4 linked regions of the Caenorhabditis elegans genome follow. The protein of the gene in region 4 interacts with the protein of the main gene of each other region in a pairwise test. Each region holds a gene or a part of one and is shown on either strand. Other genes may lie near its edges. The genes, in order: vbh-1, Y57G11C.22, scrm-7 and brp-1.

Region 1 (6,399 bases), on a different chromosome or scaffold from region 4:
ATTTTATCATTAAATATATAATTTTAATTGAAAAAACGAGCAATATTGGTTTCATTTGATGATGAGTCTCCCACAAAAGCATATTTACTCATTTTTCCCCCCTCTTTTGCAGATTTTTAAGGAGAAGACCGGCATTTTTCTATTTGAAAGGCAAGAATTATCAATTTTCATTGATGATAATTGTTTTTAATTCAGGATTTCGACAACAATGGAGAGGGTGAAGACTGCTGATTGTTTTTTTTTTCGAAGTTGAATGACATCGGAAACGAAGGTACATAAACTCCCGGGAATTTAGCCTACAAGTTGCTGGAATCATAATTACAAATTTTCAAATAGAAATGAAAATTTGACTGACATGAGGCAATATTTAATACATTAATTTTTTGGCCTAGGACTAGACTATTAACGACCACGTAGCATTTGACATGTTGTGAAGATAGATAATTTTCTTGCGGTCATTTCTTATATGCAACGAGAGCATCAGCATGCCCGCGTATAAATGTTTTCAAGTACCAGATACCAAGTTTATTCAACTATTTGTCAGGCCACAAGGGCTTTTAAGATTATTCTCAAAGAGCTGAAAGTGAACATTCAAGATGGAAAAAGAAGATAAGAATCTCATAGTGACAGAGATAAGTGCGTGACGAGGGAAAGAGAAAAATGATGGGAGAGGGACGATGAAAATAAAAAAGAAAAATTGTGCATATTGGACAAGAATGCAGTTGGTTGGGGAGAAATTGGCAAATAGAAATTGAAGAGAAAGCGTGGAAACGGACTGCACGTTCAACGGCTTAGACCGGCCTAGAAAATGTTTGGAATTAGCTATTGACGAGACGCATATGATAGTGCAACTTGAGTATTATGAAATGGTTGGTTCTATGATTTTCGTGTATACTGTTTAGAGGGAGAAAAAACAACTAACAATGAATATTACTTGGCTCAAAAAAAACATCAGTTGGAGGGAAAAATGATAGAGATTTGGGGATAGGTGGGGGGAGATCATTATCATAAGAGAGCAACCAAGCTTTTTATACCTAACTCGCAATTATTTAATGATAAACTGACGATCATACTGGCGAACAATTATGAAAATATAATTAGACACCCGCAGCTATACCAAGTTAAGAATTGAATAATTGCAAGACGAATGGTTGGGATCAGATTGGGGAACAAGTAAAAATTAATTAAAAATACACACAATATCACGAATCAACAACGGGCAGCACTATGTAAACGGGTTTCAACAAAGCTTACAAACAACCGATAATAGAGAAAAACCGTGCTGAGTCCCCGACGCGGTAGTGCATCGGATGCCATCCAGCGGCCATAAGAAAAACTACAAAACTACGAGATAAAACTGCATTGATTCTCTCGGGGTATTGTTGATGCAAGAAAACAACACCAAGAGAAACAAAACAATGGTACAAATTGCCAGGCAACAACAACATTTTTGGGGGAAATGGGAGGATACAATAAAATTCAATGTTAAAACCCTAGATCACGCATAGAATCCATTAAAATATTCGTCACTTAAAGCTCTGAGATAAAAAAAATTGAATGATTAAAACACAATTACAGAGAGAATAATATGAAATAAAAGAGAGGAATAAGCCACGCTTTAAAGAAGGAGACAGAATAAAAAAGAGAAGGAGGAAAAAATGATTATTTTAATATGGATGGAACGAGTAAAGGAAAAAAGGAAGACAACTAAATTATAAAAAAAGGAGTATGGTGCGAGACTTTAATGTGGAATTCCGGATTTCCGTTTGTTGCGAATAATGTTTAAGCTTGTGGAGCTTGCCAATGATCAATTGGAGCCTGGCCTGGGTTTGAGTAAAAACCTCCACCGCCACCACCCTGACGGTTCATTCCACTGTTGAAGCCACCTGAAATCAAGGAATTGATTAATTTTGCATTATTTTCTTTATTTTCTCCACAAACCTCTTCTTGGGCCACTGAAGCCGCCACCGCCACCACTATTAGAGGTAGACGACAGAGAGCTATGAGCTCCGAATCCTCCATTCGTGAACGGGCGACGTGGTGCTCCTCCTCCGAACGAACCACCGTAGGCGGGTCCACTTCCGAAACCACCAGTGGCTCCACCGGAATTGTAATTTGAGAAGTTTCTGAAACTATTAGCAATATTAATTTTCAACTGCTCATTTGATCTTACCCTCCGAACGATCCACCACCACCACGACCAACACGATAGTCGGTTGCTCCGAAGCGACGGTTTCCACCACGTTGTCCACCTCCAATGCGTCCTTCTGCAGCAACTTGATGAAGCCATTCTGGGACTTCTTGGTTGGATTCGACAATCAGATTCTTCAAATCACGACCGATTCCTCGATTCTTGTCATTGAAGAAACTGGTGGCAATTCCAAGGTTTCCGCATCTTCCGGTTCTACCGATACGGTGAACATATTCGTCAGAATCTCCAGGAAGATCATAATTGATGACGTGGCGCACATTTGGAATATCCAATCCACGAGCGGCAACAGCAGTTGCGACAAGAATTGGGCACTGTCCAGAGCGGAACAACTCGAGATTTCTCTCACGTTCAATTTGTTTGAGATCTCCGTGAATTGAAACAGAGCGGATCTGCTGACGATTGAGGAAATACGCCAACTCGTTGGCTCCTCTCTTTGTCTCAACGAATACGAGAACCAGATTTTCAGAATGCTCGTTCATCAGAATTTCCATCAGATTGCTTCTCTTTTCCATCTCGTTGACCCAAAGCAGACGTTGTTCAATATTTTCAGACGTTGATCCAACACGACCAACTGCCAAAAAGATATAGTTATCCTTGAGGAAGTCCTTAGCGAGAACTTGAATCTCCTTCGGGAAGGTTGCACTGAACATAGCTGTGGTACGAGCAGTCTTTGGTGGCATTCCTTGGCCAACGATCTTTCTGATTTGCGGCTCAAATCCCATGTCAAGCATACGATCAGCTTCGTCGAGAACCAGGTAACGACATCCGGCGAGTCCAATGAATCCTTGCTCAATAATGTCAATCAAACGACCTGGGGTAGCAATGAGGATATGCGTTCCAGCGCGAAGACGATTCACTTGATCACGATAGTTTTCACGTCCTCCGTAAAGAATAGCCGTCTGGATGTTGCTTTTGTAGCTGAACTTTGTAGCTTCCTTGTGGATTTGAATGGCAAGTTCACGAGTCGGCGAGAGAACCAGAGCACATGGATAGTAAGTGCGACGACCGTTTGTGAACGCTGGCTGCAATTAAAATAGTTTTTTGTATAAATTTTTCGAATTTTGATGGATCGCAGGTTTGCCCTACTTACCGGCTTGACCATATCTGGACCACCAGCCAAAATATGCTGAATAATTGGGAGCAGGAAAGCGGCAGTTTTTCCAGATCCGGTTTGAGCGCAAGACATCAGATCGCGGTTAGCCAAAAGAGTTGGGATCGAGTGTTTCTGGACAGGAGTCGGCTTGGAGTATCCGCTGCGATTCACGTTCTCCATCACAGCCGGCCCAAAACCAGCTTCATTGAAATGCTCGATGGCTGCTGGAACGGAGTCTCCGCTGACTTCTACGGGAATATTTTCGTACTTGTCAAAGTTGATGCCACTGTCGGTACGGTGGAACAAATTGCTGAAATACCATATCGCGTTTAATAATCAGAACATTTTAATCTCACCTTTCGGAATATTCGGCAGGTGCTCCTCCCCATTGATTACTCTCGGCTCCACTGTAACGTCTACTAATAAAAATTGTAATTCAGATTTAAACATACTTGTTGTTGAAACCGTTTCCGCTGTCGGCGAAGTTGTTGTACCCAGACGATCTGCAATTTCAAGATTTGATAAAAGAGAAGCCTCATTTCAGGTTAACAAAAAGCAACAAAGGAAATGAAGAACAAGCATATGGTTAGAGGCAAACACAATCACCAGCACACTATACACCTGTTCTCACCCATTCTCATCGAAGTTTTCAAAGTTTTCTGAGTAGCCCATTTTGAAATGCTGCTGCTGTTGTGGCTGCCCTTGAAAGTAAGGAGAAGGAACAAATCCAGCATGAGGAGCACCCATCATCTGCCCCATCCCTGGGACCATAGGTTGTTGAATTGCATACCCGTTGTTTGACGGAGTTCCGTTGGCGAATCCGTTGTAAAATACGCCTCCTGCAGGCATATTATTGCTCTGTTGAGAATACGAGGATGACCAGCTGAAAAAATGAGGTTGAAATCTTGAAATCCGTTTCGAAATCATACCCTTGTCCCTGTTGTTGTTGTGGCGGCTGTTGTTGACCGTTGTGATTCGCATAATATTGTGTGTTCATTGTAAGACTATATCAAACGGAAACCCGGAATTCGAAAAAGAAAAATCGGCGAATCTAAACCGATTTTGTACCCAATTGACGTCGAGATTACAGAATATGTATCTGAAATTCATTTTATTGGCTTGTTGCGAAACAAATGAAGTTTTAAGACGGAGAAAATGAGTATTTATCATTAATAAACGACGAATTATCATTTTTCGCATAATTTAACTCGAAAATTATGCGAAAAACGATGACAATGGAGAAAATCGACACGAAAAACCGTAGAGAAGAAGCGGAAATGAGAGAAGTGAATTCAGCACGCAATGATGAAGAGACGTTTGTTTTCCCATCGAGACCCGCCGACCGTGTAAATCGGTGCGCCTTTAAAGTGCGTGTGTGAGGAAGCGTGTTTCAACGCAAAAAACGCTCCGAAATTTCGCGAAATAGAATTAAATTTAATTTTTATTAGAATTTCTATTGAAATATATGGGATTTTATTCAATTTTTTGAATTTCCGACTCAAAATTAATAAAAAAAAGATTTCCAGGCAATGTCAGCTCACCGAGTGGCAGTGTCACTGCCAAGAATCGGCGTCACAATTGGTCACGCACCACAAAAGCTGAAAACCGGAGGAATTGAGCCAAGCCGTCGTGCTCGTCTCGAAGTGCTCCGTCGCATCGTCACCCGAACTGTCCGTGAGGAACGCGCCGAGCTGAAATGGAACCGCGCCGTCGAGGCCAGGCCATATTTGGAGAGGGTGAGGGGTTTTTTGTTTGAAAATGAGTGAGAAAATTAAAATTTAAAAAAATAAAATTCAGCTAATTCAATTGGGTGTCGAAAGAGGACCACTTGACGAGTATACAGCCGAAATGATGGAATGGTGGCTGCCTGAGAAGGATTTAATTACGAAAATGCATGAAGTAAATTGATTTAAAAAGATTTTTCGCCAAAAAAAAATCATTTTTTTCCCAGGTAATTGTTCCACGATTCCAAGACCGCGATTCTCCATTCACATCACTATTCCGACTTCCACCACAACGTCTTCAACAATTTATCCAGAATAAGCGAGAAGTCTGGAAGCGATACGATATCGGAGTTCTGGAAATCGACGGAAATCCATTTCCACAAATACAAGCAGACCGCGTAGATCAATCTGAATCAATTCTTGATGTTCTTCTAGCTGACGCCCTTCGGAATCACCAGAAGAATCTTCAGGAAAAGCTGGATACTCCGAAGAAATCTCAATGAATTTTTATTATTTTTTTTGTTTTTGTTTCGCTAGAATCCTAGAATTTTTGTTTCTTTATATATTAAACTTTGAATCATTTTCAATATTTATAACGAATTTTGTGGTTCGATTCAATTATTTATATCTTTATCTAATTTTTTTCCCACTTTTTCACCGAAAAAATTAAAATTCAGAATAATGTTCGAAGAGCAACCGGAGGTAATAGAGGCGATCGAGAATAATCGCTTCGAAATTGTCATCAAAAATGTTCGAATCGATTCGGTCACCGAAGCGGCCAATCTTTCCCAGAAACGGGTTTTCGAGAGTGTAAGGGAATTTTAATTTTTGGAAAATCCGTGAATTTCCGCAAAAAAACGATTTTTTTCTCGGAATTTCAAACAAATTTTTTTTTTGTAAATTTTATAATACTAAATTCCCATCAAAACCCAAAATTTATTTTCAGATGTCCCAATTGAATCTCCTTTCTCTCACTGGATGCTCTCTTCACAATCTTTCGTCTTCGATTAGATCTTGCAGTAATCTAATGCATTTGGTTTTGCCGAAAAATGATTTAAAACAGCTTCCAGACGTTTTTGGTGTGTATTTTGTGGATTTTTTTTTGTTTTTTTAGACGGAAATTAGTCGAAATATACCAAATATAACTGTTAAATAGCATATCTTTTCAATTTCGCAACAAAAAATTTGAATTATTTTGAATGACATGATTTCGAAATTAAATGTTTAATTCCGGCAAATTGCCGGTTTGCCGGAAAAAAATAAAATTTTAAATTCTTGCGAATTGCCGATTTGCCGGAAATTTTCTATTTTTTCAAGTATGCCGATTTGCCGGAAAAAATTAAACTTTGAATTCATGCAAATTGCCGATT
Region 2 (4,552 bases), on a different chromosome or scaffold from region 4:
AAACTACCTTGCGCCTATTCATCTGTAAAAAACGTTTACAAATATTTGAAGCCAAAATACAAGTCGTTAAAGTATGAACAAGTCGAAAAGGTTCTCGAAGATTTGGAATCTTTTACGCTTCACCGCCCGAATCAATCGCGATTCCCGCGTCGGAAAACAGTCTCACCTGGTCTTTATGCATCTCTTCAAATTGATCTCGCAGATATGTCCCGGTACAAGAAGGAAAACGACGGAGTAACCTTTCTACTAGTCTGTATAGATATTTACTCTCGACGGCTTTTTGTAAAAACGTTAAAGTCTAAAAAAGGACAAGAAGTGGCTCTAGCTCTACAAGACATTTTTAAAGAAATTGGTGTCACACCAATGACAATTTACAGTGATGATGGAAAGGAATTTTACAACTCGCATGTCAAAGAGTTGTTGGCCAAGAATTTTGTGAATCTATTTTCACCCAAAAGCGAAATAAAGTGTGCAATTGTGGAGAGGGCAAACAGGACTCTGAAAACTCGATTGGCAAAGTACATGACTCAAAAGTACAACCGACGTTATGTGGACGTTTTACAACAAGTTGTGAATGGTATCAACAATAGCGTTAATCGTGGAATTGGTAAAAAACCAGTAGACGTTGAGCGGGGAGATTTTTCAACTCCGATGCCTGTAGACAGCGTTAAAATCAAATTCAGAGTAGGAGATCACGTCAGAATCGCTGCAAAACGAGGACAATTTGACAAGGGCTACGAACAAGGATGGACTACAGAAGTTTATGTAATTTCCAAAGTGTTTGCAAGGAAACCAGTTACCTACAATATAGTAGACACTAATGGAGAAAAAATTGCCGGAATATTCTACACTCGAGAACTGACTAAATGCACATATAAACCAGACGCTCAGTATCGAATTGAAAAGATTTTAGCCACTCGTACAGTACGCGGAAAGAAACAGCACCTCGTTCGTTGGGACGGATATGGTGCCGAATTTGACTCTTGGATTGATGCATCAGGAGTATTAACTTTATGATTTGTCCATGCCAATTTCAAGAGCCGCCCACTTTTCTGAATTCAATCTTCATTTGTGCTCAATTTTTTGTTGTACGTAGTGACTTTTTTTGATAATGTCCTCATTCTCAAACTTTTCTTATCCTGATCCTTCACCTGCGAACGTCTTTTGGAATTTTGAAACTCTTCAAAACTCGTCTCAGGAACCAGAGTTTTTGCCATCAAATGTTTCTGATATTCCTATGTCGGAGAAGAAGGGAAAGAAAAATGTGAAAACTTTTAAAACGACACACACGGCTGCCAAGACAACGGAACCCCAGTTTGCTTTACGAAAAATGGAACCACTTGCCGCTATCCTGTTTTGTTCAGATTGTCAGGACGGTGCACAATATGATGGGTCAACTTTGAAAATTGACGTTTGTAAGAAATGCCGAAAGAATATTGGAAATTATAAAATTTGATTGATTGTATAATAATGTTTGAATTGTTAGTAATGCATGTAACACTAATACTTATCCTTATCTGTAATTGAATAAATAATAAAAAATGTAAAACATGTTTTTTGTAGGGAATGCTCTTTAAAGTTTTCGATAACGGGTGGAGAACCCTTTATCGAAAAACTTCAAATAGCTTTGAATGCATCATTTTTCAAAAGCACAGGTAAATTGAAAAAACTTGTTCATCAACTTTTACTCTTGAAACCCCCAGGGGCGCGGGGAGGGGGGCCTCCTTCCTTCATCAATCTCGGTAACGCTTGCATTCATTCAAATCGCGTTTGGGAAAAAGACGTCTCCTAAACGGCAGATGTTTCGAAATAGAAAAGAGTCAAATGCTACTGGGTTTGCGACTACGTCTATAGTGTATTGGTATGGCATCTGTTTTAGACGAATAGTGTCCTGGGTTCGAACCCGTCCCCTGGTTGAATGAACCAAGAACATCAAAAATGTCTTACCAGTCTCTTTCTCTAAATCTCTCAAAAACGCACACTATTTAAAAATCGATTCTTTCTTACTATAACCAAATCTCTCACTCTCTCGTCTTTCTCTAAATCTCTCGTTTCACACACTATTCTTGGTCAGACGGTAAAAAAAAACCAAGGAATGGTAAATTGTACACTCTACCACTACTAGCGTAATATTTCAAATTGTTTGAAAAACATTTTTTTTTCATTTTTTTCTGTTTCTAGTAGTTTTTAAATGAAGTGTTTCAAAAACCAAACTATTCACTTAAACATTATCGAGTTATTATTAAAAAATTATTTTGAGTTGGTTTCCATTTATATACAAGCATCAGAGAAAAAAATGAACAAACCAATTGAAATTCCGACGACACCTTTTTCATCTTTAGTCAACTCAATTGTCTCCGATTGAATTCTCATTCCGAGCCGGTCTTCTTCGATTTGGAACTGTAAAATATGGTTAAAAAACAATAATTAATTTGAAAACCTACAAATTATTTGTTAGAAAGTGAAACAGTAAGTTTTTTCACGATTATGGTAACCAGAGGTGGGCGGATATTTTTTCGGATATTTTCTAATAATGAATTTATCAATAAGTATTGATGTAGTTATTCTGGAAGAAATGTATCCAAACCAAAGAGTAACTATTAAGCAACATTTTAATATGATAAAACCTAGAAAAATTCTACAAGTTTTCCTTACCGAGACCTTAAAACTTATTAGCCGAGCAACATCGGATATCGGATATTACGGATATTACGGATATCGGATAATGGACTTGCATATCGTTTATACAGAAAACTTGTAGAATTTTTCTAGGTTTTATCATATTAAAATGTTTCTTAATAGTTACTCTTTTGTTCGGATACATTTCTTCCAGAATAACTACATCAATACTTATTGATAAATTCATTATTAGAAAATATCAGAAAAAAATATCCGCCCACCTCTGATGGTAACTATAATAGTTATGATTTTTATTGTTCTTTTTTAATAAAAACATGAAACATTCCAGTTTTTTTAGCTCAATTTCAAACTACACAAACAATTGAAAAAAAATACTTACATCCATAATTAATTTTTCTGCTTTAAAATCGATTGTCACTCCTTCACTCCTTCTAGCAGTACTAAAAGCTTCACGAGCAAAAAGAGCACAGAGACGGAGAGATGTAGAGACTACGAGAGAGTGTAGAGAAGCGGGAGACGCAGACAATCATGCACACTGAAAATGGAGAATGAGAGGAGAAGGGAGGAGATGCATGGAAGATGAGCTCAATGTGCATTTGATTCAAAATGGGGTTAGTGGCAGAATTTAAGACGACAAGAGAGGCCTTGGGAAGCTTGAGAAAATATATTGTAGGCCGTGCATGAATCCTCAAAATGTCTGCATGTCTAAAAAGCGACCACTAATGAAAACGAAAATTTCGTAAATCTTCAAAAAAATTATCAACTACAGAAGAAATGCCTGGATTTAAAACTCCTTGCTGAAACAGAGAAAAAACAAATTGATGAACTATTTTTCACTGAGATTCTGAGATTGTATTAAACCAGAAACATAACTAAATTTATATTTGGCAAAAGACTGAACTGCAATTAAAATTTTCAGTTACAAACTATATCCTACAAACTACCAACTAGACAAATTTCTCTTTGACGGAAATTTGTCGCAGGAATACAAATTGATAAAGGGAATACGATATACATATTTAACGCTCATTAACTACATTAATTTTTTGCGAGATGCTTTTAAAAACTTGTTGAAACAGAACAATATTTTCACTAAAAATTCGCAACCTTTTCACAGAGTTTATACATTTTCGGCGTAAGTGTAAAAAAAATCTCAATGAATTCAGATTCTGCAATTTTCCTTGTAAATTCCAGGAAAACTCCCGTTTTTTAAACCAAAATTTAAAAAAAACGAGAACTTTGTAAATCTACACTAATACCAGTTTTCCAAAGTTGAGGTTAAAATTGCAGCATGGAACCGATTAGAAACTACAGAAGGTAATTTTTTTTAAAAACTCACTGAAACAGGAAAAAAATTAATAAAATGTTTTCATTTTTTATAGACTCTGAAAATGTGTTGAGCTAGAAACATAGTAAAATTTCTTGAAATTTATATATTGCCGCAAACAGAGAAACTTTGAACTAAAGTTCACCGTTACAAGATACTTTTAAGGACTTCGTGAAACAGAACATTATTGTCACTAAGGTTTTGAATATTTTCCACAAAGTTTTTTGTGATCAGTTAACTAGTTAGTGAAAATAACTGAAAAAATAACTTGAAAATAGGAAATGTGTAACTTTTTCTTAGTTTTCAGAAAAAAAAATCTCTAAATTGTTATATGAAGTTGGAAAACCAAAGTTGTTCGATTTAAGAACCAAAATAGTATTAAACCGAAAGCATAACAAAATTGTCTGCAATTAATATTTTGACAATAACTGAATTGGAATTAAAGTTGACAGAATTATTATGGGCTACATATCCACTGATTCCTAGCGGAATAATAAAATTCATCTCGAAGAGATACCTTTGAAAACTTATTGAAACGGGACATTATTTTTTCTACAAATTCACAAATGTTTCACAGGAGTTATA
Region 3 (3,793 bases), on a different chromosome or scaffold from region 4:
GAAATTAGTCATAGTCAGGTATTAACATTTTAAAATATGCAGTCTTCAAAATACAAAAATTATGTCTCTTCGAAGTTTGGAATTCTCCTGGAACTCGTGCTCGAAGGCGCACGAATGATATTGAACGGGACTCGCCGCGATCTGAATTGTAAGCAGAGTTTTTCGCTTTTTTTAGATTTTTCTTGATTTTATGAGGATTTCGCAATATTAACCAGAAGGGAAATGTTGCTCAAAAGGTACAATACGATGCATCGCAACGAACATTTGTGTTAAATCCAAAATGGTGGGAGCCTTTGAGGATTACTGTAATTTACTAACTTTTCAAATTGATTTTTCACTTTCCATGATTCTTTCGAAACTTGACAAGCTATTTGAAAAAATCGACGCAACAGCAAAACGTTAGAAATTACAGTAATCCTTGAAGACTCACCATTTTACATTCAACACAAATAATGAATATTTAGTCACCGTTATAATAAAGGCGATGGACGAAAATCATGGTGAAACGTTTTATAGGAAAGTTGAATACGGTTTACAAACAGCTCAATCAAAGATATAGCATCTTTGAAAATGAAATCTGTGGAAACTTTTAAATCAATTTCTGAACGAGACTTTGAAAGGTAAAGAATATTTGAAACGAAGGCTTTTTTAATAAATAAAATGCAGAATTTGAAAGAATCCATTTGACATCACACTAATACCCAAAAAATCAATAGAATCCAGGGAAATATCCAGAAGAGAATCCACTATGGTAAGAACGTTGTCTAACATAATGTGATCCTCCATATCCACGATACATGTTATTTTGTTGTCCATTATTTTCAAAGAATGTGAAATCGATAAGGAATACAGACGAGATGAGCAAAAGCTTCAAGATTGGTGGAAGATCCATTGGGACTGTAAAATTGAGAATTAAATTAGTTTAAAGAAGCTACTTACAATGCACAATATAAGTATCTGCATCAGAGTACATTTCTTGCATATATCCAGGATAAAGGCGAACAATTTCACCAACTCTCATTCCATTGTAGGTCATAACTGGGAAGCTTCTGGTTCCACCACTTGCAGCAAACAACGGAGAACGGATCAGAAGAGATTGATTGCTTCCCGCGCCGAGAAGATGGAACTGAAAAAAATATATTCACGAATGTTTCAGCCAAGAAAGTGAAAATGTTTCCCAGAAGGTAACCAAGTTTTGCCAAAAGACTTGATTTCTCATAAACTCACATTGACATCCCCATGAGTTCTCGACATAATTCCAATATTCTGTCCCAGAAACTGTGTAGTCAAGTGATCCGTGAATGATCCCCAAGGCTGATCTCTGTGACATTGCATAACATGTGCACCAAATAAATCTGTACACATCATTGCAAAGCTTCGATGAGATCCTTGCATTTGACGAGCAAATCCATTGGATCTTTCCATACAATTCATAATCGGACGACAGTACATATCATGAACAACATATTGATTTGGCGTCTCGATTCCTGTTGCAATTTCCAGAGGTTCTAGTGCTTGAACAACCATCATAGAGTTGGTCCGAGAAATCATATCCAGAACATTGTGAGCCGGAAGGTTGTTGAAACCCTGAAATACAGCATTTTTGCATGAACTCCGGTGTAACGATGAACTTACGATTTTTTTTTATTTTCTCATTTAATTAATTTGTTAAAAAATCGGTAATTGAACCCTGCCACACTTTACACACTCACAGTCGGTGTCGCCTAGAAGGTAGCCTTTATAAGCGACTTTCACCTAACTTCAGCCTACCGATAGACAAACGACAGGCATGCACAAACACATGAGACACTTGCCTACCAAATAAGTCCCAAGGCAAAGACATATGATGTTTCTCTGTGTAACTCACTGTCATTCTAACTGGCATAGAAGCCACTTGATTTGGAAGAACGATTGGTGTCGATCGAACTTGTGGCATGTGTCCACCTCTTCCAGCTTGTGCTCGAACTTCAGAACCATCGGCTTCCACGTCATCCTGTTTTGTTTCCATTGTCATGAGTAAATGCACCTTCTTCGTCACGAATGAACTCTAGTAATGAACAAAAATCGGTACTTTTCCGATTTCTGCCCCCCCCCCCCCCCAAAAGTTTTTGATATTTTCATTAATGAAACGTGAACTTTTCGGAATTTCAGGCTTAGTATTGCTGTTTTCAAAGCTTAAAAATTGAAATAGTATTCAAATAAACGTACCCAAAAATCAATGAATAAACTTTCAATAAAACACGATGAGAAAAAAAATTAATTCCCGTGAGAGAAAAAAAATCAAATATTCTATTCACTTTTCGATTCAATCAATACTCGAATCCACATACTCATATTCGATTATTTCTCAATTTATTCCGTTTATTAAACGAATCATGTGATGGCGGTTTGTATGGATACATTCTTTATCTTCAACTCTTTCATAATGATAACGGTGAGCTACAATGACTACAAATTGCACTGACACTACAAACTATAAATTACAGAGCACCATATTCATCATTTGCTTTTGCAAACCACCCCGTCAGAAGAACAGTTGTCATGTTCGGGAGATGACAAATTCCATGAGAGCGGTATGTGAGGGGGAAGCTGCAAAAATCAATGAGTAGGCACGGAATAGGCATGATGCCGGGCAGGCAGGCGGATGTTGAATTTCTAGTACCAGAACACTTTGAAAACCGAACACTGATTAATCTGTAATATCTTGTAATCTCTATATTTCTGATTTTTAGGCGCCGATCTCGGATGCAATACCGGATAGTACTCGAACTGCGTTGGACAAAGAAGAGAAGAAGAAAAGGAGCAAAGATTCATCGAAAAAGTCAAACAAGAAGAACAAAAAGAAGAAGTCAGCGGATTCTTCCATGAAAATTTCGAAAAAATCGAGCAAGTCGAAGAAATCCAAAAAATCTGAGAAAGGGAAGAAACCAGAAGCCCGAGGGAGGGATGAGGGCGAGAACTCAACGCAAAGATCTGGAGTGAGTTGAAATGATGTTCAGGTTACCAGAGTTCTTTTTCAGGCGGCTGAGACAAACGGACCACCCGTTACAGCTAAAAGTGCATTGTGAGTTTCGCCTGATGCAAGTTACAAATCCCGGTCAAAGTTTTGTTCCTAACTATTTCTGATTTTCAGGAGTAAAACCGCTAAAAGCGTTCCGAATGCCCCTAACACCAGTGTCAAGCCGACTTCTCTAGCTGCCAATTCTCCAGCCCCGTCGTACACAAACCCAGGAACACCAGCTGCTAATTCGGTTCCCGATAGTCAGTTATTTTAATGAGGAAAAGATCTCAATGAATATTCTTTCAGCAGCCAACCCAAGATCGCTTCCAGTTGGAATTCCCGGTGCTCCAGGCTGCCAGTCAATGCCAGCGTTTTAAAGAGAACTACTATGTGAAATAAAAGCTTTTTCTTGGAGATTTTGTTTTGAAATTACTTAATTTTAAAACAACTTTTTACAGTATTGAGACCAATTTTTAGAAATCTGAGTTTGAAAAGATTTTTCAATAATTGATTCCAATCTTCAACATTTCCAAGATACCCGATTTTTCTGGGATATCTGCAATTGGAGTTACAGCTGGAACATTCATCTCCAGCCATTTGTAATTCCAATAACAAGGTGAAGATGTGCAGGATGACAATTGGAATATGATGACATTTCCAGAGAAGGCGTGGTTTGTCTGGAATTGGTATATAAGCAATCTATCCACCCGGGATAATCATTTAGTCTAATTTGCTCCTCTCCAATCAGAATGTGTTCTTATTCAACATTTCTCTATCTTGTCCTTTTTCCAA
Region 4 (6,854 bases):
CAAATGTTTCAAATTTAATTCGGTCGTTTCTATGAATTTTGAAATATGTAAAAATTCACTAAAAGTTTAGGACATTTTTGAAAAAATTTTCACAGTCATATTTGGTCATATATTCTAGGCGTATATTCTGTAATTTAAAGCGAAAAATTGTTTAAAAATTTTTCAGTATCAATAATCAAATTCATTCTAATCAATCGATGTTACGTCTATGCAAAACGAATCGAGAATGGGATGCTGGTTAGACAGTCGGATTTAACAAATGTGATGAAGTTTTGAAAGTTCCTTGGAAACACGTGGTGCCAGGCTGTCCCACCACGGTTTGATCTACAAAAAATGCGGCAATTTTTTGCCAAAAAAAGTGTGACGTCAGCACGTTCTTAACCATGCGAAATCAGTTGAGAACTCTGCCGCATTTTTTGTAGATCTACGTAGATCAAACCAACATGGGACACTCTGACACCACACGTTCTGAAATAAATACTTTTTTTTTCTTGATTTGCAAATACAAATTCAACAGCGAATAATTTTATTTACAAACCTGCACGCGTAAAAGATGGGATGATGATGATGATGGAAAATAATCGGGGGAGGACGAATTGTATAACAATTATTACATTCGAAAATTATTTTTTTTTAGCTCAGCTCAAAATTAAAATTCTCAAACAATCAGTGGTTTCAATGGTTTCTGAGTGGTTGCTGCTGTCTCAGCCCCTGCTGCCTCGAGAGCCTCACGTGGTGGATTGTTCTCGAAGAATTTGAGAACAGCTGCGAATGGATCCAACTCCTTCTCATGATTATCTTCAGATGATGTATGTTCAGCATCTTCTTCAGATTCCATTGGTTCAGGTGTTGTGGTGCGTTCTTCGATTCTTGGGAAGCTGTCCTCAATCACAATTGCTCCCTTTCCTTCGAGTTCTGGCTCTTCGGTGGTTGATGGGGTGGCTGAGTTGAGCTCTTTGTTGGCCGCCTGGAATATTACTCATTATGCCTCAGTGAGCACAAAACAGGGGTGGGCCGGAAATTGCCGTTCGGCAAATTTGGCAAATTGCCGGTTTGTCAATTTGCCGGAAATTTTGATTTTCGGAAAATTGCTGATTTGCCGTTTACCGAACATCAATTTGCCGGAAATTTTTAGAGAAATTTTTTATAAGACGGAAACACTTGCCTTTTTGAAATTCAAATTTTTGCCGGTTTGCCGATTTGCCAGAAATTTTAATTCCGGCAAATTGTGGTTTTGCACTTTTTTTTGGCAATTTCAGAACTTCAGAATTACAATATTAGTCGGCAAAATTGTACCGTGCCGACTATATATAAATAAACAATCTTTCTAAACACTTCCGGCAAATTGATATCCGGCAACTCGGCAAACCGGCAGAGAGCCGGAATTGAAATTTTCGGCAAATAGGTGAATTGCCCGAATTAAAACTTTTGGCAAATCGGCAAACTGCTGGAACCAGATCCGCAAATTGCCTGAACTTAAATTTTTGACAAATTGCCGAAATAGAAAATTTCCTGCAAATCGGCAAACTGGCAAAGTGCCGAAAATGAAAATTTCCGGAAAATTGGCAAACTGCCGGTATTGTAATTTCCGGTCAATCGGAAAATCGACAGATTGCCGGAACTCAAACTTCCGGCAAATTGGCAAATTGCCGGAATTGAAAATTTTCGGCAAATTGGCAAACCGGCAAGTTGCCGAAATAGAAAATTTCCTGCAAATCGGCAAACTGGCAAAGTGCCGAAAATGAAAATTTCCGGCAAATCGGCAAAATTTCCGGCAAATCGGCAGCAAATTGGTAAACCGGCGATTCGCCGATTTGCCGATTTGCCGAACCAACATGTTCCTGATGTACAAACCTCTGAATTCTTTTGCTCATCGAAAGCTGAGAAGATATCTCTGAGAATAGTATCAGAAACCTCAGCGGCATCCTCTGGCATTGGTGTGCTGCTCGTGACAACTGCTGGGAATGCAGTGTTGATGGGTGAAGCTGTGACGTCAGCAGTTCCAGATGCAGCTTCTGGAGCTGGAGTTGGAGTGATTGCTGTCCCTGATACAAGATTAATTGAAATTTTTGGGCTTTTTGCAAAAAAAACAACTAACAGATTTGACGAGTTGGTGCGTTGACTGGAATGTTCTGCGACTTCTTCTGAAGTTCCTCGTAGATCTTATCGTGAACTGATGGTTGTGGGATTGGTTGGAAGAATTGTGGAGCCTGTGGGAAACGGTCCTCAGGTTGTTGGGTCTGTTGTGGTTGCTGCTGATGCTGCTGTTGTTGTTGGGATGGGAAGAAGAATTGTTGGGGTGGTTGCTGGAATTTTTTTGATGGTTTTTTGACAAAAAAAATAGTGAAAATTTTTATCGGTTTCAGATCCCGAAAACTAAGCAAAAAACAGAGGTGGGCGGCAAACGATTTTTTTCGGCAAGCCGGCGAATTGCCGGAATTCACAATCTCTGGCTTATCGGCAAGTTGCCGGAATTAAGATTTTCCGGCACACCGGCGAAGTGCCGGAACTGAAATTTCCGGCAAGTCGACAAACTGCCGGAATTGAAAATTTCAGGCAAATCGGCAAATTGCAGGAATTGATAACTTCCGGCACATCAGCAAATTGCCGATATTAAAAATTTCCGGCAAATCGACAAACTGCCGGAATTGATAATTTCAGGCAAATTGCCGGAATTAAAAATTTCATGCAAATTGACAAATTTCCGGAATTGAAAATTTCCGGCAAATCGACAAACTGCCGGAATGGAAAATTTCCGGCAAACCGGCGAACTGCCGGAATTCATAATTTCAGGCAAATCTAAAAATTGCCGGAATTGAACATTTCCGGCAAATCGGCAAATTGCCAAAATTTACAATTTCCGGCAAATCTGCAAAATGCCGGAATTGATAATTTCAGGCAAATCGGAAAACTGTCGGAATTGAAAATTTCAGGCGAATCGGCAAATTACCGGAATTGGAAATTCCCGGAAAACCGACAAGTTGCCGGAATCAAAAGTTTCCGGCAAATCGGCTAACCGGCAAATTGCCGATTTTCAGTTGCCAATTTACTCAAAAAAAATTTGCCGAACTGCAATTGCCGCCCACCCCTGATCCAAATACGACGAAAAATTTTCGAAGTTTTTTGAAAAAAATTATGAAAAAAAAAAGCAAAAATTCAAATTTTTCAAAATGGAAAATGTGTCTAAAATCCAAATGCCAAAAAATTCGTAGCCCATCATCTAAAAATCTACAAATCGCCTTACCTGCCAGACAGTTGGTCTCTCCCATTGTTGCTGATGCATCATTGGTCTTGGCCAGAATCTCTGTCTCTGCTGCTCCTGTGGCTGTTGCTCCTGCTGTTGCCATTGGGCCTGGGCCTGAGCCTGCTGAGTCTGAGCCTGCATCTCCAACTGATGTTGTTGCCAGAAAGCTTGAGCACGCTGCTGTTGAGCATAGGTCTGTTGAGCCTCGTACTGACGACGTTGTTCCTCTTCATAGCGGGATCTCTCGGCCCATTGCTGACGGGCGGCCTCTTCCTGCATCTGTTGCTGTTGTTGTTGCATGTAGGCCATCTTCATTTGTTGTTGTTGGTAGTAGGCGGCTTGAAGTCTTCTCATTCTCATCATTCGCATTGCCATCATTTGTTGCATGTACATACGTTCCTCCATTATTTGTTGGAATTGTTGGCGGGCCTCCATCATTCGGTATTGCTGAAAAAATTGCTTTTATTGATTTATTAGACTCAAAATTGTCTGAAAATATCGAATTTCTTAATGAAACTTCTTAAAAACCTCTTGAAAAAAAAGTTATGGCAGCTCAAAAAATGGCCTAAAATTTTTAAAGCAGTTTAGCTGGCTTGAGGCGGGTAGGCATTCCCTTCAGGCAGGCCCTGGAACCGCGCCTGTCTATGGAAGCCCTACATATGCATATATATATATATATATATATATATATATATATATATATATATATATATATATATATATATATTTATATATATATATATATACAAATCCATATTTATGTATATATATGGTATAATTTGGTAACTAACCTCAATCTCATCTGGATGAAGTGGGCGATCCAAATTGGTAGAGGACTTCTCCTCAACTGATCCATCAACAGTTGTCTTCTTTTGACCTTCATTATTCGAAATATCCTCCACTACAACTACCCGAGCCAAGGGAATTGCCATCATTCCTGGATTTTCCGCAGAGTTTATAGTCTTTTCAGATGATCCATCAATTGGTTGAGCTAGAAGTGCCTCCATTTGTGGCTTGTTCACGGATGTTTCGGTTTTCTGGAATATCAATTAATTAAGTTTAAAAAAGCTTAAAATTAAAAAAAAACCCTGTACCTTGAAGAGATCAGGAGTAGCGGCGAGGAAGTAGAAACCGATGAGTGTCACCAGCAAAAGACACGTGGCAAAGAACATGCAATGGAAGCATGCTCTCATCGCCTGGAAAGCTGGCGATGGAGCAGGCTTCATTGGTGGAGCCGGCATTGGGATCACTGTGGGCTGGAGGACTGTGAACACCTGGAATAATTCAGATTTTGTTGATATTTCTACTAACGTTATTATTATTATTGTTACCGAATATATTCTTTGTGAGAAAATTTGAATTTCGCGCCAAAAAATGTTCTCAGAAAATTTGAATTTCGCGCCAAAAATTATTCTCGGATAATTTAAATTTCGCGGCAAAATACGTTTTCTCATAAAGTTTGAATTTCGAGTCAAATGTATTTTCTCATAAAACTTTAAATTAGCGCCAAAAAAATTTCTAATAAAATTTGAACTTCGCGCCAATATACGTTTTCTCAGAAAATTTGATTTTCCAGCTAAAATTTTTTTGTGAAAAATTTTGAATTTCGAGGCAAACTGTTTTTACACGTGGTGCCGGGCTGCCCCATCACGGTTTGATCTACAAAAAATGCAGGAACTTTTTTGCCCAAAAAACATGACGTCAGCCATGTTCTTAACCATGCGAAATCAGCTGAGAAGCCTGCGTCTGAAATCCCGCATTTTTTGTAGATCTATGTAGATCAAGCCGAAATGGGACACTCTGACACTACGACTTGTTACTCATAAAATTTGTAATTCGCGCCAAAACGTGATCTCTTAAAAAAAATTCGAATTTCCAGCTGAAATTTTTTTATGAGAAAATTTGAACTTCGCACTAAAAACAGTTCTCAGAAAATTTGAATATTTTTAATAGAAACTCACTTTTGGATCGATCTTGATAGACTCCTTCTCAACGTCCTCACTCCCGTGAACGCCGGGCTGTGCGCCTAGTTTGGTCATCTGTAAATGATTCTTGATTAGATATTCGAGTAAAAGACAAAAACAAAAAAAAGAGAAGAGATCAATGCGCACAATAGGAGAATTAGAGAAGCGGCTCACTTTCTCTCGCGGAGCATTAAACATTTTTGACAGGTTGGCATTCACGACTCTTCCGCGCGGTGTAGGAAAATGAACAAAAAATGATCTCCCGATGTTTTGATAGGAAGTGACACCAAGTTTTGAAGAAACACACAAAACGAGTTTTTAAAATAGCCGGCCACTTGGTTACTGTACACTTGAGAGAGGAATGACGTCATTCGTTTTTGTTTTTGACCAGAAAATCTCGATCAGATGATGATAAAGATTTCTGTGAAAAATTTTAAAATGATAAAGGATACTTTGATTTTTGATTTCTTTTCCATTTTTTGCAGCAAGGGTTTAAGGGCAGAGTATAATATACAAAGTTTGATGGTTCAGGTAAAAATAGGTAGGATGTGTTAATTCAAATGCGGAGGGTTTATTTTTCTCTTATTATAAATATTAATGTGCCTGCATACAAGGTGGAGTACGGCCTAAAATGAACAAATATCATAGTAAAGCTATTAATATAATTTCGGAACATTTTTCATTTTGAGTTAAAAAAAAAGTTCTGATTCCAGTTTTATGCTTTAATTATTTTTGAAATATTCATACATGCTGCAGATTCTTCGAAAAAATGTCTACATTTTTTTGAAATGTTTTAGTATGATTTTTGGTATTTTTAGCGCTCTGCATGATTTTTAAAAAATGTGAGTTATAATAATTTTTTTTGTAAATTTTGTGATTTTTAGTTAGTTAAACTCATATCGAGAACTGTCTTAAAACGAAAAAATTGGTGAGAAAAAGCCCGTTTGCTCTAAAAAATATTCATTTAGAACTAGTATTGGTGGGCGGCAAACTGCCGGTTTGCTGATATTCCGGAATTTTCGATTTTCGGCAAATTTCCGATTTGCCGGAAGTTTTTAGAGGGCTTTTTTATGAGACTGATAGTGAAACACGAAATTTCGAACAAAAAAAAAATGCAAAACCACAATCTGTCCGACAATTGCCGTTTTTCTGGAAAATGCGGCAAATCGGCAATTTGCCGGTTTACCGACTTGCTGAAAATTTCAATTCCGGCAATTCGCCAATTTGGCGGAAAAATTATTTACCGCCCAACCCTGATACATGCAACACTAACAGGGAAGTATGTATATACAGAAGTTTACGATACATACCGTATTTCCTCTATTAGTTTTGCACCCGCTTGCTCAACTTTGACAGCTCATATCTCAGTAGTTCTTTGTTCCATAGAAAAGTTGTCAACTGATAAAATTTTTGTGAGATGTTTTTCTATAGTTTGTAGTTTGTTAATTATTTATATGTTCAAAACAAAATGAGATATGAGCTGTCAAAGTTGAGCAAAGGGGTGCAAAACTAAAAGAGGAAATACGGTATATTCCAAATTATTTTTGTCCTATTATAAGTTATTATCGGTTTTTAATGTGGTTGCCACAATTTTAAATATTCTCCGATCAGAATTACAGTATTCCCCTCCCCCCCCCCCCACCTAC

Evidence for each region.
Region 1: the proteins of brp-1 (region 4) and vbh-1 interact in a two-hybrid assay, tested with the Caenorhabditis elegans proteins (one large-scale study listed by BioGRID).
Region 2: the proteins of brp-1 (region 4) and Y57G11C.22 interact in a two-hybrid assay, tested with the Caenorhabditis elegans proteins (one large-scale study listed by BioGRID).
Region 3: the proteins of brp-1 (region 4) and scrm-7 interact in a two-hybrid assay, tested with the Caenorhabditis elegans proteins (one large-scale study listed by BioGRID).

Annotation. Positions count from the first base shown.
Region 1 is NC_003279.8:3,157,982-3,164,380, forward strand, and holds vbh-1 (RNA helicase), read right to left. Parts: upstream 4,411-6,399; 5' UTR 4,303-4,410; coding exon of another isoform or gene 4,235-4,302; intron 4,189-4,234; coding exon of another isoform or gene 4,155-4,188; coding exon 3,937-4,154; intron 3,809-3,936; coding exon 3,758-3,808; intron 3,722-3,757; coding exon of another isoform or gene 3,713-3,721; coding exon 3,662-3,712; intron 3,616-3,661; coding exon 3,303-3,615; intron 3,235-3,302; coding exon 2,174-3,234; intron 2,127-2,173; coding exon 1,942-2,126; intron 1,887-1,941; coding exon 1,783-1,886; 3' UTR 511-1,782; downstream 1-510. Other genes in the region: mrpl-17 (Large ribosomal subunit protein bL17m), read left to right, coding at 4,835-5,041, 5,103-5,204, 5,257-5,532; Y54E10A.6 (B3/B4 tRNA-binding domain-containing protein), read left to right, coding at 5,711-5,839, 5,976-6,108.
Region 2 is NC_003282.8:14,835,684-14,840,235, reverse strand, and holds the start of Y57G11C.22 (PRKCA-binding protein), read right to left. Parts: upstream 3,026-4,552; coding exon 3,020-3,025; intron 2,919-3,019; exon of another isoform or gene 2,897-2,918; intron 2,424-2,896; exon of another isoform or gene 2,403-2,423; intron 2,401-2,402; coding exon 2,307-2,400; intron 2,239-2,306; exon of another isoform or gene 2,217-2,238; intron 1-2,216.
Region 3 is NC_003283.11:14,777,701-14,781,493, forward strand, and holds scrm-7 (Phospholipid scramblase), read right to left. Parts: upstream 2,042-3,793; 5' UTR 2,015-2,041; coding exon 1,868-2,014; coding exon of another isoform or gene 1,771-1,867; intron 1,725-1,770; coding exon of another isoform or gene 1,669-1,724; exon of another isoform or gene 1,636-1,668; intron 1,588-1,635; coding exon 1,228-1,587; intron 1,127-1,227; coding exon 940-1,126; intron 898-939; coding exon 710-897; 3' UTR 503-709; downstream 1-502. Other genes in the region: Y50E8A.10 (uncharacterized protein), read left to right, coding at 2,381-2,434, 2,487-2,573, 2,733-2,978, 3,021-3,064, 3,134-3,261, 3,308-3,378; Y50E8A.11 (Integrin_alpha2 domain-containing protein), read left to right, coding at 3,793-3,793.
Region 4 is NC_003281.10:12,018,981-12,025,834, reverse strand, and holds brp-1 (uncharacterized protein), read right to left. Parts: upstream 5,284-6,854; coding exon 5,206-5,283; intron 4,519-5,205; coding exon 4,339-4,518; intron 4,282-4,338; coding exon 4,036-4,281; intron 3,692-4,035; coding exon 3,245-3,691; intron 2,307-3,244; coding exon 2,099-2,306; intron 2,046-2,098; coding exon 1,855-2,045; intron 968-1,854; coding exon 659-967; 3' UTR 514-658; downstream 1-513. Other genes in the region: Y79H2A.12 (Serpentine Receptor, class BC (Class B-like)), read left to right, coding at 167-276.